4 linked regions of the Drosophila melanogaster genome follow. The protein of the gene in region 2 interacts with the protein of the main gene of each other region in a pairwise test. Each region holds a gene or a part of one and is shown on either strand. Other genes may lie near its edges. The genes, in order: CG9825, CG13068, Dpm3 and CG6126.

The links.
Region 1: the proteins of CG13068 (region 2) and CG9825 interact in a two-hybrid assay, tested with the Drosophila melanogaster proteins (one large-scale study listed by BioGRID).
Region 3: the proteins of CG13068 (region 2) and Dpm3 interact in a two-hybrid assay, tested with the Drosophila melanogaster proteins (one large-scale study listed by BioGRID).
Region 4: the proteins of CG13068 (region 2) and CG6126 interact in a two-hybrid assay, tested with the Drosophila melanogaster proteins (one large-scale study listed by BioGRID).

Annotation. Positions count from the first base shown.
Region 1 is NT_033778.4:22,835,372-22,839,826, reverse strand, and holds CG9825 (uncharacterized protein), read right to left. Parts: upstream 2,467-4,455; 5' UTR 2,392-2,466; coding exon 2,370-2,391; intron 2,106-2,369; coding exon 1,969-2,105; intron 1,912-1,968; coding exon 838-1,911; intron 771-837; coding exon 546-770; 3' UTR 536-545; downstream 1-535. Other genes in the region: CG12490 (uncharacterized protein), read right to left, coding at 3,280-3,486, 3,568-4,455.
Region 2 is NT_037436.4:16,267,646-16,270,430, reverse strand, and holds CG13068 (uncharacterized protein), read right to left. Parts: upstream 1,040-2,785; 5' UTR 997-1,039; coding exon 985-996; intron 915-984; coding exon 597-914; 3' UTR 520-596; downstream 1-519. Other genes in the region: CG4950 (uncharacterized protein), read left to right, coding at 2,290-2,785.
Region 3 is NT_033777.3:13,402,002-13,405,036, forward strand, and holds Dpm3 (Dolichyl-phosphate mannosyltransferase subunit 3), read right to left. Parts: upstream 1,051-3,035; 5' UTR 988-1,050; coding exon 838-987; intron 770-837; coding exon 635-769; 3' UTR 558-634; downstream 1-557. Other genes in the region: yellow-e3, read right to left, coding at 1,447-1,934, 2,000-2,393, 2,458-2,805.
Region 4 is NT_033777.3:16,197,479-16,205,031, reverse strand, and holds CG6126 (uncharacterized protein), read left to right. Parts: upstream 1-1,948; 5' UTR 1,949-2,198; coding exon 2,199-2,241; intron 2,242-5,137; coding exon 5,138-5,772; intron 5,773-5,834; coding exon 5,835-6,824; 3' UTR 6,825-7,032; downstream 7,033-7,553. Other genes in the region: mtSSB (mitochondrial single stranded DNA-binding protein), read left to right, coding at 30-138, 496-718; CG31287 (uncharacterized protein), read right to left, coding at 818-1,024, 1,082-1,384, 1,439-1,597.

The sequences.
Region 1 (4,455 bases), on a different chromosome or scaffold from region 2:
CACTTACTAAAGTTATAGGTCGCGCCTTAAATTTTTGTTCCAAAGAAACCATAAAGGTGTGTACCATTTAGTGATACTGTGGGCATTGCCAATTTTTTTTATCACAAATCATATGGCGAGAAGTGCAATGACGAGATCGTTGTACGTAAGATAATATTTTTAGGTCTTCGCAAACGGCATCTTAAAAATGAACTGCAGAACTAAATGCTCTATAATTCAGTCTACTAGCGACGGTAACTAAGGGAATTTTAAACACAAGAATATGTCTATATTTTCGAGCAATCAAAACAATAATAGCTGACTAGCTCTTGAGACTGCGGACTTGTAATTAAAAATATTTAGTGATGTCGCCCTCAATGGCATTTTCAAAATATCAAGAATAACTCAATTTGAGTGTCAGTTATAGATAAAAGAATCGTTTGCTATCTCTCTACCAAGTTATGATTTTTAGACCACTAAAGTGAACAAATAAAAACCAAATGCTAAAATGTAAATTTGGTTATCCAGACTAGTCTAAAAAATAAATGCGTTAAATGGGTTAAGAATTAATGGCTTTTACTATTAATTTTCTCTTTGGAATTTTCGTTAATTGGAAAGGATAACGCCTGCATAGGTGGTCTATTGGCAAGTTCCGGGTTCTGTGTCTGCAGATAGTCCTCGGCATCCCAGGGCTGAGTTTCGGCCGTGCCAAACACCAAGTAAATGCAATTGCCCACAAAGAAGATTACGGAGGCAATGATGAACACGATCTGCCATTGGGAGCGATCAGACTGAAAGGAAAGGATACAATAAGCAATTAAAAATCTTTACTTCCTACCAACTTTTGCAAGCACTCACATTTTCCTTAACAATCCATCCAACAACTAAAGGAGTGACTATGGGCACGAAATTCGCCGCTGTATTCACAATTCCCATTAGAATGCTAGCGTGATTTTTCGATAGATCAATTGTGTTTAAAACACTGCCAATGGTTTGAGCACTATTCACGCCCACACTGATGGTCATCAGAGCAATCGCGAAGTTCTTTTGTTCCTTGTCCAAAAAGCCAATGCCCACCAAAGTGGCAGCAGGAATCCAGAAGGCAATGGAGTTGTAGGTCTTTCTCAAAATCGTCAAGGACACCGAGTTCTTGCCCAAGAGCACATCGGCTACGACTAGGTAAATATACGACATGCACCACATGGCCAAGAATGGGAGTGCCGAGAAGAACGCATTGCTCTTCATGTCCATGTCGAGGACTCCGTTCATATAGGATGGGATCTCGGCCTGCAGAGTGCTCAGTCCCCAGTTCTCAGCGCATCGTACTATGAGCAGGGCCAGGAATGGTGCCGACGTCCAAATTGCCTTCCAGGGAATGGGTATAATGGTAGCGTGGTATGACTCATTGTGCTTTAGAGACGACTCAATATAGATCAGTTCGTTCTCTCCTATGAAACGAGATTCCGTAGGATGGTTGGCAGCGAAGACGAACCATAATGTACACCAGAAGAAGGCCACTCCAGCCGAGACATATGAGATTCCGGGCCATCCCAGGGAGCTCTTGGCTATCATTCCGCTCAGGAACATGGCACTCACATTGCCGCACTCGATTCCAGTGTGACTCAGAGCTCCCAACCGATTTCTTTCCTCGGGCGGTGACCATTTAGCCAGGTGCTGATGAATGCAGGGGAATACCACTCCCTGGGCCAATCCCATTAGAACTCGAATTCCACAGTAGGCCTGCCATTCTCCAAATCCGATGAACAGCGGCGTCAAAGCACTGCAGACACCAGATCCGAAGACACCCCAAAACATTACACTCTTGACTCCAAAGCGCTTGCAGAGATAACCTCCAAGGAATTGCGTTAGGATGTAGCCCCAAAAGAAACTGGAGAGAATGTACGACTTCTCTGCCTCCGTCCAATCGTATTCCTAGTAGAGAATCTAGTAAGCTAAGTGGTATTTTCTTGATAGGATCCCTATTCTTACCGGAAAGTTCGGGTTCGTGGTTTCCGCATTGGTCATTGCCACCACAGACACGCCCACATTTAGGCGGCCTATGAATACGGTAGTTATATTGAGGAAGATCAGTAGCGCCTGGACATGCCTCATTCCCAGAACGGGTCCTGCAATAACAAAACGAACTGGTATTATCACTGTTACTTCCTGTCTACAAACAGTTGGGTAAATAAGTCTGAATTGCTCTTGAGACTCGGTTATCGCGCCATTATTGTAGTAATTTATGACCACTCAATGCGTGTGCGAAAAGCCCAGAAATCAGACGGAGTGCAAGGTCTGAGCCATGAAGGGGTTTTCCACTGTGTCAAGTTCGTTGGGTGTCAATTCATTCACAAACTCTTATCCGAACCGAAGGATTTCCTTTCACGCACCTTTGTTTGTCTCGGCCGTCATTTTTGATTTGGTCAACAAAACACCTCCTGACTTCTTTTAAACGACCGATCGGAATCACTGTGGGAAGTTAAGTGAGTGAGACCACGAACATAGAGTGGATTTAAATCCAAATTGAATTAGACGATAAGCCAAATGTTGCTTATCTGATACGACACGTCAGGTGATAAGGTCATACAGCGGGCGAATTTAACCATTGAATTAAAAAGCGTCATTAAAAAATTGTTGTACTTTACAAACTAGTTATTATGTCATTAGTCAGAATATTGTAAATCAATCAATAAATCATTATTTTCATCCATTTCTACAATTCTAGTAAGGATTCTGGCACGATTCGGTAAAAGATAGATGCCACATAAGCAACATGGCCTAAAATGTTAGCGCCAAAAAGAATGCATTGCTTTTTCATGGCCATATCGAGAACCCTTTTTCGAATAGGTGGGCATTTCGGCCTTCAGGTTACTTAGTCAAGAAAGAAGCCAAGGTTTTGCACCTTTAATAGTTAATTTTAGATATCTTGACGAAAATATCCTACCTGCAGTTCCTTTTCTACTGTTAAACGAGGTTGTTTAGAACAGCATTGCCTGGTCGTGTGGCGTTCCAAAATCAATTGGTAATATCAAGAGTAGTTACTGCCATACCATTATTGGATTGATTTATGGCCGCACCTTTGGTAAATTTGACGACTTTTGATAAGCAAATAACGCTCAAACATTTTAATTCAAACAAATCGTTTTACTTATACGTTTAATAAACAAATGAAATGTACTGATGTAGATCTTAAATCTTATTAAATTTAATAATAATACTCTAAATTATTTTGATTGCTTTGTTGTTTTAAATAGTTTCTATGTTAACTGAAGACTTAAGTGCTATCGATAGAACTTCAATTCAAGGACTTCGTGGAAGGTCATCAATACCTTTACCAGCTTCATGGATAGCTGGAACTTTAGCTAGCTCTGGCACCTTTACTGTGAGGTAGTCTTCAGCATCCCAGGGTTGTGAAACAGCCGTTCCAAAGTATAGGTACACCGAGTTTCCGACAAAAAAAAGTACTGCCGCAATTATGAACACTATCTGCCACTCAGCACGGTTATCCTGAAACAATCAACAGAAAGTCTTCTTATTTATACTTATTTATCACTGCCCTGTTTATAAACACTAACAGTGCAAACTTACGTCTTCATGAACAATAACTCCAACAATCAAAGGGGTTACTATAGGCACTACAGTAACAGCCGTATTCAAGATTCCCATTAGAATACTCGCATGATTCGGGGATAGATCTATGGTGTTCAAGGAGCTTCCGATTGTTGCTCCACTGTTGACACCGACACTGATGGTCATCAAAGCAATTGCCAGGTTCTTCTGCTCCTGATCCAGGAATCCGATTCCAATCAAAGTGGCACAAGGAATCCAGAAGGCCAACGAGTTGAAGGTCTTCCGGAGGGCCGTTAAACTCAGCCTGTTTCCGGCGAGCAGAACATCGGCGATTATCAGGTACACATACGACATAATCCACATGGCCAGAAATGGTAATGCCGAAAAGAATGCATTGCTTTTCATGTCCATATCCAGAACTCCGTTCATATAAGTTGGGATTTGGGCCTGGAGGGTGCTCAGACCCCAGGTCGCGCAACAACGCGTCAGCGTAAGAGCAAGAAATGGTGCCGAGGTCCAAATCGCCATCCATGGTACGGGAATTACGGTCTTGTGATAGTCCTCATTGTGCTTCAGAGACGATTCGATATAGTGGAGTTCTTCCTGGGTTATGTAACGAGATTCCACTGCATTGTCAGCGGCAAAAACGAACCAAATGGCACACCAGGCGAAGGCTAATCCTGCGGAGACATATGATATTCCTGGCCAACCAATGGCACTTTTGGCTATCATTCCGCTCAAGAACATGGCACTTACATTGCCGCACTCCATCCCAGTGTGACTAAGAGCTCCCAACCGATTTCGTTCCGCCGGAGGTGACCATTTGGCCAAATGGTGATGAATACAGGGAAAAACTAGTCCCTGTGCCAAGCCCATAACCACGCGAATTCCGCAGTAGGCCTGCCA
Region 2 (2,785 bases):
TTATGGTTGCTATTTTACTCGTTATTGCCCGCTTTAAGCCAGAAATATATTTTTAGACACGCACATGCATAATTATTTATTCGGGTTGACGCAACTTTCAGTCGGCAATTTTTAAATGGCCAACACGTGATTCTCCTACCAGAGATGCCGGTTACCTATACATTTCGAGAAATCTATCACTTTTGCCATCTGTGATTTGTCAATGGATGATGACGCAACTGAATTGGTATTTTTTCGGGCTACATTTCCGCATTTTAAGTGGGCAGAACAGACGCTGCCAGAACAAAAGGTTTAGAAAAGGTGACAGTAAAAAAATATTAATTATAAAAAACGTATATGTTTAGGTGACTTTCTTTTTAAATACTATCAAGAACTTTTGTTGCCGCCAAAAGATTGAGAAATAATAATTAATAGTAGAAAATCCATTAAAAAGTATTAATAATATATAACTATAGCTTTTTTGCTATTGAAAAACAGAACTTGGTGTTCCCATTTCCAGAATAATATTTTTAAGCTTTTAGTTTGATTTGTTTTATTGCCAGTCGGGTCTATTTTTATTCCATTTCAAATCCGTTTTGAATACTTGTTAATCCGTTTTACAAAACAGTGGTGTATGCAGCGCTGTAAGGGTAGGCGGCATACGGATAAGCAGAGTAGGCAGCGGCAACTGGAGCGGTATAAGCAGCGGCGGCAACTGGAGCGGTATAGGCAGCGGCGGCAACTGGAGCGGTGTAGGCAGCGGCAACAACTGGAGCAGCAGCCACACCGTTGAAGTTGCGGGCCACGTACTGCGAACTGGTAGCGGTGACCACGCCGGCAGGAGCAGCTGCAACCACTGGAGCGGCGGCCAGGATAGCGGGCTTGGGCTCAGCCGAGGAGCAGGCCACCAGAGCGCACAGGACAACGAGGGCAGACTGTACGGAAATAACCAGTTAATATAATACTCCAGATATCTGTATCCATATGGAGAAACCACCAACTCACCAGCTTGAACATGATGGTTTAGTTTAGTTTGATTTGAGCTAGCAAATTGGACTATGACTTGATTCGATCCGACATGCAACTTTTATAGCACCGGGAAATCGCATAGATGCTTTTGACTTTCTGGGCACACACGATAATGGGGCGAATGATTCTATACCACCTGCATGGGAATGCAGAGCGGCCTTTCAGTAGCTCAATTGGCCGTTTGGCTACGTTCCCGCCGCCCGCGGAGGTCGATTCCAATCCGAATCCGAATCCGAATCTGAATGCAAGACCAAACCCATTCATTATTTCGGGCACGTCCGCATTGTGGGCCCATAAAAGATGTCGCCGCGAAGGTGACCAGTAGCCCGATGTGATTGATGCCACCAGACACGGCTAATTGCCGATGAGTAACCTCCTGCGCCAAGAGTTGGCCAGGAATCAATGAAATGGAATTGCACGCTTCAATCCGATTGCGAGCGCATTGTTTCAGGGTTACGTCCGTCGGCTGCAATGGTCTTTATGCAATCAAAACCATGTCATCGTGCCCGTTCTTTGTTTCGGCCAAAATCTAATCCGCTTGACTGATGCAATGCGGTCAATCTCACACACGAGCCAAAAAACGCCAGTTACGTTTACATTCGCATCGTAAGGTCAACAAACTGCATGGCAAGATGCAGTTTCGAGGGGGTCGCCAGATAACTGAGGCTCTAAAGTTAGCAGACAGCTTTTAATAAGAGTCAAGCTCAGCTTACCAGTCCATTCACAATCGAAACGTGCCTGTATGGGCTTATATCTCTGAAGCAAAATGAAGCCAGACATGTAGGGGTTCCTACAGGGCAAGTTCTTTTGGGGAGAGGACGACCTCGGAATACCCTGTACTCAATTAACCACATATACTTCTAATCTTGAAAACCAGAAGCAGAAGAATGTCTAGCTACACGACATATGTATAAACATATTACCAAAATTGATATAATGACAATATTTAGAAAGATATCGTAAGATACCCAAATTTTATATATTCGTTTTAAAACCTTTTTCTATTATTAAATGCATTTATGAGATCACGTCTTGAAATGACCGTTATAATGTAGTGCATTATAAAAGTATAAACAAAACAAAGTGCAGACCGACAATATGTTATCACTATTGCGCTGGACTACTGAAAGCTGGCAATCTGCGGAGGAGCGAGATAAAGTTTAATCAATGAATACAATATTATATGTAAATACAAATGGAGTGGAAGCTGGAATGGCAGTCTGCGAAATTCCACTGATGCAGTTTACAAAGTTATTTGGCGGCGAGCGGTTCGTAAAAAAGATGAATAGAACGCGAAGGATACTCGAAGTGATCGTTATCCTTATTCTAGCGATATCGAGTTGTGATGGCAGTGGAGGAGATATCCCCCTGCGATGCGACGAGTACGATTCCATGGGATACATGGACGTGAATGAGGCGTTTTGCACGGTCACCGGATTCACGGTCACACACAGTCAAAATGTCGTGATCAAGAACATACCACCCGGAAATATGGTCAAGTTCATGAAGTTTTACGAATCAACGCTGCTCTATATGCCCTTCCATCTATTCGAAACATTCCCATATCTCAAGACCCTCGATGTCTCGAATACGAATATTTTGGAGCTAACGAGAAATGCATTCAGTGCTGCGAGTAATCTCACCTATCTGAATCTGGCCTACAATAATCTGACATCTATCCAGACTTCTGTGTTTATTGGCGCCAATGTTCTGATGCGTTTGGATTTGTCCTACAATGAGATATCCTCGCTGAGTGTGAATGCCTTCTGTGGCCTGC
Region 3 (3,035 bases), on a different chromosome or scaffold from region 2:
ATTTCTATTTTCAAACTATTGTCCGCCATTAAAAAAAAAATTACACAAATTAACTTCAAATGGCTATTAATCGGTTTATATTGGATCTTTTGAGTATCACAACATTCAGCTTCGCAATTATAACTCCTTCCAGTATTTTGCAGAAGAGAAAATTAAAGTTTTGAAACAGTATATTTTTTTCTCTTTCGCATTGTAATTAAGAGAATTTTAAAAAAATTGATTTATTGGAAATAGATAGCCAAAGCATGGATTTGCAATATATGGTTCGCACTTACGAGTTTTCCATATACCATGTTCATTAAGTAAAAATATGTTTTCCGTAAAGAATATTATTAATCTCTTTAAACGTATTTTACCTCATATACTTTTTTAGTTTTCTTATATTTTTTATTTTGAGTAATTCACAGGGGAGCTAAGCCAATTAAACATAAACATATTCCATACTTTTTCAAGCATATCCTTTCAAAACCTCAACATAATTTGGCCACCAAACTTCCGACACCTGGGGAAATCAGCCCCCAACAACGCGTCCGCCCACACAAAATGCGGTCTAGAGTAAATTTGCGTAATTTTTGTTTTTATAAATAATGGAATTACAGATTAACATGCACAAGTCCTACGAGCTGGAAGTCTCCTAATCTCGAAACCGAAATCCCTTGGCTATCAAATCCTTGCGAGCCTCCTGAATTTCATCCTGCAGCTCCTTGGCGGCCTCGGGACAATCGTTAAAAGTCAGAGTTCTATATAGAACAGTCCAAACGGAATATATCTGTGGGTAATATATAGTAGTAGTCAATAAGAGGTGTTATCTGCATTGATTCATATCCAAAAACTCACTCCAAAAATCACGAGGAGCAAAAGTGGTAAAAGCTGAATGTGCAGGAAATACTTGGTAGTTAGTGGCGTTTGCACTGTTCCCAAAACAACGGAGAGATAGGGAATCGCAAAGAGCGATGCGTAAAATAGCCAGCGTTGTAGATTTGTCATAGCTAACGAAATTTATTGGTAAACAAAACTAAACCGAAAATAAAGTTCTACACGTAAACATAGAGCTGGAACTTAAGCCGATGGTCACCCGGTAATTCGATATCGATATTTACCGGCTACTATCGATAGGAGGTTTACCTATTCAAATCTAGTTAGAGGTTTTCCTATTCATGTCTAGTTGGAGATTTTCTAATTAGTAATTCGTAGCCTGACGGCTTCCAGTTAGACATTGTTTACTTTTCTAATTGGCTAACTTAAGTGTGACCAAGCCCTAAGCACGTGCCATAGCACAAAGCTATCCACAGTCAGCAAATCAAATGCCATACTACTCAGCTAAACACAGTCAGCAATTTATCGATAGATCAAAGTTGCGCCATAACAGCCAGCCTTCTACAGCCAGCAATTTAAATCAGAGTAATCGATTGACGCAGTTTCAAACTTGTTAAAACTAAGTTTTAATTAAACGTTGGTGGGCGTGGTTTCTGCGGCGCCCACTGTACACGGCGTGTTGGCAAGCAGGTCAGCGGTTCGGCAGCCAATTATTTGGAACTTGACCTCGTTCGCGGGCAAGTCGCCGCCAACAAAGAGTTTCGGCTGGCTGCTCAAGGCCCACAGCTCCTCCTCTCCCTTGGAATTCCTGTTGATCTTGAGGCCCGTGACGAACTTGATCTTGTGCGGATTGTAGGCCACCACACGCAGGTCATCCGCCGTGTAGTTGGACACGGACTCCTCCCATTTCACCAGCGCCCCTAAACTGATGAGGCTGCAGTAGAGATTCCCCGACTGATCCATCACCTCCGATTCGCACTGGATTCCTCGGGTGCCCAGGCTGTGGAAGCTATCCCTGCTGGCATTCGCAGACTTCCAGAAGGTCTCGTTGTTGATCAGGGAGAGCGGAACCCTCATCTCATTAAAGGAGTTCAGCGTGTGAAAGTACAGAAAGCGGTCTGTAAATTTGCATTGGAAATTATAAATAATTTTTGAGTATTTAGAATTTAAATTGAATAGCTACCTTCCACTTCGCTGGGACTGAGGCTCACTGTAAATATTCCCGCCTGCGAGTTGCTGGAGCGTCCTAATCTCAGCAAGGGCGACGGCTTCATGGACTCATGCTCTATGCGCCAGGATCGTCCCGTCAGGGAGTCAAACACGATTAGACCATAACCCCAGGCATCGGCTATATACGCTCTGCCGCCAACACATCGGTTGGGTGTGCCCCTCTCGGCCAGATCCACCACCAAAGCCGTGAAGATGGATACGCTGGGAATGTAGGAATCGGGCGGAAGTGCGTGTCGTTGGACTAGTTCGTCCTTCACCAAATCAAATGTGAGAATTTGTGGCGGGCACAACTGCAGGGAGTTTACCTGCCCTGAATCCACCACCCAGAGTCGCCAGCACTCGTCGATCTGGGAGAAAACGATAAATATTCATGAAATATCTTCTGTTGGGAAAATATGCTTTATTACTTACATAAGTCCTAATGGCTGAGGTGATGCCGGAGCAATTGTTGGGTGGCACGTGCCACTCCTCGTTGGGATACGGTTCCAGTCTGGGATTCTCCACCAGCTCATTGTGCTCCGCAATGACGGTGGCCAGTGTGAAGGGTGTGGCCATCCCCAGTCGCGGAATCGTGAGAAAGGTGCGATGCCTGCCCTCATCGCCGTACTCAATGTCCACATCCACCGGCAGAAAGCGATTGCCCTTGGACAGATCGTCGCCCAAACTGAGGTTCGTCCACTGATGCAGGGTGTGCAGCTCCTTGAGGACCAATGCCTGGCCCTGGACTGCACAAAATAATGCGAGCAGGACGACCAACATGGCTATCAAATGAGAACCTGCTAAGTGACAGTTCCGCGCGGTTCAAACGATTGCCGAAGACTAAAGATGTGCAGGTAGGCCCTAAAGTTCTTAGCCTTCAATCTCAAAGTGCACTCAGAGAAACTTAAGCTATGTGGTAATAGAACAAATGTTGCAATACATTTAAGTCCTATCATTGCTAAATCCAAAGATAAGAATCTTTATTTAATGATTTATTACTTATAATTTTA
Region 4 (7,553 bases), on a different chromosome or scaffold from region 2:
TTGAATTAATTTTGAATAAATAACCACAGCTGTCAACACGGTGACCATTTTGGGACGAGTTGGCGCCGATCCGCAGCTGCGTGGATCCCAGGAGCATCCGGTGGTCACCTTTTCGGTTGCTACACACACCAACTACAAGTAAGTGCATTTGTGTGCGTTTTGCCGCCCAGCATGCGTCTGCAACTGAACTTGAAATCACATCTCAGAGGAGGGAAATAAAAAAGCTACATAAATGTTGACAATTAAGTTAGTTCTTAGCCTTAACCTCCAAGAAAATATCACGTTGAGCTGCTAATTCAGATTTATGTAATGAGTTATTAGAACATTTGCTGTATGTAATTACCTAATGATAACGGCAATAGTGTACATTTCCTTGTTCAATTAACTTCAGTGATCAATTTCTTCTTAGGATCCATGAAATGCCGGATTTCATAAAGAAAATAGCTACCATTTCATTTAAAAAGCATTCATGAAGTCTTAAATATTTCCCCACAGATATGAGAACGGCGACTGGGCCCAACGCACCGACTGGCATCGTGTAGTGGTGTTCAAGCCCAATCTGCGTGACACCGTGCTGGAATACTTGAAGAAGGGACAGCGAACCATGGTGCAGGGAAAGATCACCTATGGAGAGATCACCGACCAGCAGGGCAACCAGAAGACTAGCACCAGTATCATAGCCGACGATGTGTTGTTTTTCCGTGATGCCAACAACTAAAATTTAAGCCCAGATCACCAAACCTAATCTTAAGCGAAAAGTTGAACTTGCAGCATTGTAAGCATTTATAATATTCGTTGGATATATTGTGTTATCAGATTACATGCGTAGTCGTACTCCACATGTGTCTTTTGGTTTTAACTCCTTGACCTTTTTGCATGGGAACGGTGCGTTGAATTGGCGTGCATGTTCGTTATAAAGCTGCTCGAACTCCTTTTGAACTTGTGTGACCTGGCTCTTCAATTTTTCGATATTTTTTTCCATAGACTCCAGTGTATTATTGTGGTAATCGATAAGCTTGGTTACCTGTTGATACACTCACTTTAGAAACTCTAAATACAACTTTTAGTCATCATTTCATACCAAATTTACGGAAGGTACTTTTGCGGATATCTGCTCATTATACGTCGCGACCTCCTCTTTGATCTGATTGCAATGATCGACTGTTTTTTTCGAAGACATCAGCATACTCAGCAAATCCTGATATGTGGTACTTGCCAAAGGAAACACTTGGCCTGCCAGACTCTCAGGACTCGGATAGCTCTGCTCCAATTTCGTAACTGCTTTCTCCGCCTGTATAAGGTTAATCTCGTTTTCATGCAGCTCCATTTCTACCCTAAGCATGGTGCACTTTACTGATCTCAGGGTATCATCGATGGGAAGTGCCTGTTGGAGTATGAAAAATTTATATCCTGTTTGCCTATGGCCATTGAGTCTCACATTTTTGGCATTGTCTAGGCAAATTTGTTCCTGTTCCTTAAGAAATTTTAACTTGGTATTGAAATCTGATTCCATTTCAAGGCTGTCCTGCATTAAAATATCCGCCAGCATATCCAAGTACAGGAATGTCGACGGATCTGATAAGTTTGGCTCACACATAATTTTAAAATTAACTTTAAATGAATTTTATGTATTTTTTGTATGTGTTTTTGTGACTTATGTTTTGTTTGTCACTGAGTGTTAGGCAAATCAAAGCTTGCTAAGGTATGAGTTTTCTGATCGTATTCTAATCTAAGGGATCCTTGCCAAGAGGCATCATTTATTTTCATACATCAAGGATTATAATGGTGATTACAGTTTTTGAAGCTCTTACCCTCGAGCAGAGTTTGCTCTTTAGTTCCCAACTTTGGAGACCTCCACAAGCTCTCTTCGCTCGCGAGCTTGGAGCGACCTTATCGCCATTTACCACTCAGTTTTCTCGCTGAGCGACACAGTTCGCAGTTAGTTTTTGCCAGTTCAAATGCTGCCGGCGGTCGGAAGAGTTGATAGCTGATCGAGCGCTCCGTTTGCGATTTTGTTTCACTCGAGCACGTTGTTTATCCCGGATTCGTTTTGCATCTTCGCGACCCGTAACTATCAGCAGTGCTGCACTGGTGTGCCATTCATACATGCTCCACTTCTGCAGAAGATGACGATTTGTTAAGAAGCAATAGCAAACAGTTACTTTCATTTATTTTTGATTATCAATAAAAAATCAAACATGGCTGTGGATTATGTACTGGAGGACCTGATGGGGAAACTTGGTGAGTGGAATGGGCTTTTGGGAGCGAAGACTTTTGAAAGGTCAGCTGTTACGTTGCCAGGCGTCTCCATCCCGTGCTGATAAGAGCCTGGCGTTATGCTTATCATTTTGAGAGGTCTTATCAGCGTTGCAAGCTACTATGGATAATATTTTGTTTCACGACGACCAATGAGGTTTACCGCCCAACCTTCTGTTCTGCTTTTAAAATCTATAATTAATTTTTCCGTATTATGCTTTTAATCTCCGCCTAATCTATCCGGCTGGCTGTCCGTCACGTCAAGTGCTCAAAAGAAGCCGACTATAATACTTTTTTAATTGCAACTATTTTCATTTTCATTTTGCACTATTCTTAATTTAATAAATCGTCGAGGCCACCAAGTGACAGACATTTATGACAGCTTGATAGAGACTCCGACCTGTTGCTCCCCTTTTGACTATATACCATACCAAGTATGTATTTATGTACACATATAGTCGACACATGTTCGTGTGGGCCAAGTTCTGAGCTGGAGGCTGTCTGACACTTGTTGAGCCTACTTGGCTTTAGCACAGTGACGCTAAAACGAGTGTGGCGGCTAACAGGCAAACAAAAATAAAACGGGTGCAAAAGGGGCGGTATCTGTCACAAGACTGTGAAGTAGGCTCGTCATAAAGATCTTGGGATCTACGGATATCTGGGTATTTGCTTATAATTTATTATATACTCTAATTGTGCGGTTCAAACATTGCAGCTAGCTTGTGGAAGCTACAAAATTAAGCGTGTTTATATGCAGTATGCAAAATAGTTAAGATTAATTGTGGGAATACAGTGGAAGATCGATGGATAAACAGTTTTATTTGTCACGGCTACAAATTAGAAATTTATGAGTCACATAAAATATGAGTTGGAATATAAAATTTGTGTCAACGATTGTGCTGAAATTGTCGTTAATTAAAATAGAACAGTTTTTTACAATCCGAAACTGGTTTTGTATTAAGCATTCGCAAAACCGCAGCCTATAAGAAAGTGACAGGAGAGAGGGAGTAATAATCGCATTAGCGACTTTTTTATTCGTAATATATTCGCATACATTTGTATCTGTGAAATGCAAAAAACCTTAAACTGGTTTGCTCACATTCAACTATATGGCAATACCTCCCTCAGCCATCAAAATTCACATATCGCTCTTTTATTTCTGTTTACTTTGTTGAAGGCCTATTGGCGAGCAGCAACTCTAATTACTTCGAATTTGGAGGCGTGTTGCATTGCTGAGTTGGTTGTTATTTGTACGTAAGAAGGTTACCATAAAACCAGCAACTTAAAATGACTTTGAGAGCACTTCCACACGTGCTATGTGGAGAGCACAGAACAGAACTAAATCGACCTTCAGTTGTTAGTAAACGCGGGAAGTGAAAATGTTGAAGTACGGATGAACAAAAACCGAAGGAAGCCTTAAAGTGGAGGTGTAAAACCATGATCTACCTCAATTATTCGAATCATGATACTTAAGCACAAAGGAAATTTTAAAAGCTTTGAAGAAATCAACTCTGAAATAAAGCAACAGTTGATAGTAGAATAACAGTAGATTAATATACATGTGCAATATTGTTAGAAATATGACTGCATTATTTTTTAATATTCCGTGTTCTTATCCATCTCACTTATCGCTCAAAAAGTTTGCCCAGAATAAACAACGGTCCAAACCTGCGCCATATTCATTTTAATGTGCAAACTGTTGGTTTTGTACATCATAATAGATGGCTTACGATTAAGAGAACAACAAACATTGACAGGGCCAAAAACAAATGTCGTATTCAAGGGCCACTTGGCAACAATTATACGGCTAGTTATATTGGACGGATGCAATAAATCTGAAGCAACAATATCACTGATATATGATCTAGCATTTGGTGGCCTCTGATAATCCGCTATGAGTTCCACATTAGTATTTACTATTACGAGTTTAGTTATCACAAATTTGGCCAATCGATTTCCTAGATTGTGCTCAATTATACGCTGATTATGTCTATTGGGGGCGTAATTGAATTTCATTAGGCGTAGAGTCAAATTTTATAATTGAGATTAATTAAGTCAACCCGATGACATAATTTTACACTTCACGCAATCGTTTTAATAATGAAAAATGAAAATTCTCAGACGTTTTACTCATGATTTGTCGATTGCAACGTAACCGGGGTGAACGTAACTTTTCATTTGATGGCAAGAGTTTCGTTTAAACGATCAATAAACGTAACCCACAAATCAATTGAAACGGCTGATTGAACATTGGACCGTGATCAAGTGTCAAATTCTCGTATCTAGGCTACATACTGTCCATGTCGTTAGAAATTTACACAGCCCCTGGCCTCCCATCAACGCGATCGCCATGGACTGACTGACCAGCCAAGTCATAATCGATTCAGTGCATTCTCCCAAGACATCCGAGTCTCTTTTCATGGCGTTCGAAACCAAAACCAAACCAAACCAAACTGTGGGCAAATATTTGACGGGCTAGGCGAATGCGCTTCAATTGAAATCGAATTGAATAAATTCCACTTGATTTAATTGCAAAGCCTTTGGAGTGACGACAATTCCAGCGATACCCATTAAAAGTTCCCATCTACATAAAAGTCGGCTGTTTCTTTGGGTTGTGTTTTTATCGCAGCTACGTGATGTTCAAATTCAAATACTGAAATAAAAAACCGTTTTAAATAATTTGAGCTAGAACAACTTCCGTTTTCAGCTCAACTTACTTTCTTTTTATTATATTTAATCGTAAACTGGGTGATTCATGGGTGCTACAGATTATCACTATCTATCATGTTGCTGAAAGCTCACATTTGTTGTGCGCTCATAACCTTTCCCAAGACATTAATGATTGTGAAATGTCTTTCTATTTTTTTCTATCCAATTGCAGGGGAGTTTGGAAAGTACCAGTTCCTGCAGTTCTTCCTGCAGGTGCTCTCCGGCCTGACCGCTGGCATGCACATGCTATCGCTGGTCACGGTGGCCGCCGTGCCTGAGCATCGCTGCTTCATCGAGGGCGTGGATAACAGCAGCTTGTCGGTGACACCATGGAACTCGAGCGCTATCCTGGCCGCCATTCCGCTGAAGCCCAATGGCGAGCTAGAGTCCTGCCTCATGTTCGATCCCAGTAGTCCTGGCACCAATACCACCATCAATTGCGAACGTTACGTATACGACACGACGTACTACAAGACTTCGCGCACCATCGACTGGAACTTTGTGTGCGATCGCCGCTGGATGGGAGCCATTGTGCAGACCGTGTTCATGCTGGGCGTGTTCACAGGCGCAGTCACCCTTGGCGGACTCGCCGACAAAGTGGGTCGGAAAACCGTGTTCTGCTGGTCGGCCCTGTTCCAATTGATCATCGGTGTGGGTGTGGCCTTCATTCCCGAGTACTTCTCATTCATGGTGGCTCGCTACCTGCTGGGCATTGTGGGATCAGCGGGTGCCTACATCTGTGGGTTCGTGCTGACCATGGAACTGGTGGGACCTACCAAGCGTACTGTGTGCGGCATTACCTTCCAGGTGAGGAAGACTTCAATAGATTTTGCATTTTTTAAACTGGCTATACCATGCAATACTTTTAGGCTGTTTTCGCTGGTGGCATCATGTTGGTGGCCGGATGGGGAGCACTCATCCCTGACCGCCAGTGGCTCCAAGTGATCTACGGACTGCATGGCTGTCTGTTCCTGGGCCACTGGTGGTGGCTCGATGAATCTCCGCGCTGGCTGTGGATGCAGGGACGTGCCGCCGAGGCGGTGGATATTGTGGCCAAGGGCCTGAGAATCAACGGATCGGGCATCCCGGTGGACAAGGAGTACTATGTGCAGAAAGCCAAACAGCAGGCGGCGGCCGAAGAAAAATCCAGCGCCGGATTGAGCGACCTCTTCCGCACGCCCAACTTGAGGATGAAGACTTTGAACGTGTGCCTCTGCTGGTTCGCCAATTCTCTGGTTTATTACGGACTATCGCTCAGTGCCGGCAAGCTGTATGGAAATCCCTACCTGATCCTGTTCATCATGGGCCTCGTGGAGTTCCCCAGCTACATAACCATTGTGTTCGTCCTAGATCGCCTGGGTCGTCGATCGATCACCTCCACCCTGATGTTGGGTGGCGGTCTATGCTGCATTGTGGCCGCCTACATTGCCCAGGGCAGCACCACCTCCACGGCGGTGGTAATGGCAGGAAAGCTCCTCATCGCCGGTTCCTTTGCCGTAATCTACAATTACTCAGCCGAACTGTTTCCCACCGTGGTGCGGAACTCGGCCATGGGATTGGGATCGATGTGTGCCCGTTTGTCGGGAGCCCTTACTCCGCTCATTACATTGCTGGACTCATTTGATCCGAAGATACCGGCCGTGCTGTTCGGCGTGGTGGCCCTGATCTCGGGCTTCTGGGTTATGTTCCTGCCGGAGACAATGAACCAGCCCATGCCCGAGTCCATTGAGGATGGAGAGAACTTCGGAAAGGGAGATACTTGGTTCAGTCAGTGTGCTGGTCGCAAAAAGCGCCAGAATAGCGTATATCCCGACGATCCGGAGCAAATGGTGCCGCTCAAGAACATCGAGAGCAAGTAGAACCTAGCCAAAGACGATTGTTTCCCAAGTCCAAAATCCAGCTTAAATTCCTTGTTACCCTGTGTTTTCTTGTTAAGAATTCTACTCTTCTGCCTAGTAGTAAGATTTAATAGTTTCTATTCATTCCAAGCGAATAAAACGATGTGCAGAATATGGGGAATCCTAATTTGTGGATTCACTCATTTCTGAGTGTCCCTTTGTTGTTTGTACGGATTTTTTCTTTTAATTTTTTCGGTGGTAAAATTTAGTTTAAAGGAAATTTAAATGCTTGACGAGCATTTTTACTGATTAGTGTTGTCTACTTTTAGGCTCTATCAATTTAGGCGCAGATTCATAGCTTGAATTTCAATTTTCTCTACGGTAAAACCAGTACACACCAAAAAATTATTTCCCAACTATTTCCAATTAAAGTTTATTCTCCGACCGACACAGCCAATTCGGGTTCGTCTGGCCTTGCAAAGTTTCAGTAATTTCCACTCAATTGCACTATCGAATTGCCAATTGCCGACAGGGATTTCCAATGTCAAATCCATAACCCATCGCTTCCCTTTGCTCCACATGATGTTTAACCCGCCAATTAAAGTTTGTTTAAAGAGAGAGTTTTGGTTTTTCGGTTTTTGTTTCTTGTTTGGTAATTCTTCATTTTGTTTTGTTTGGTACATTTGAGAACATTCATTTCGAATTTGAATATATTTTCAATTTAAATTTTAACTACACGTAGGCATATAG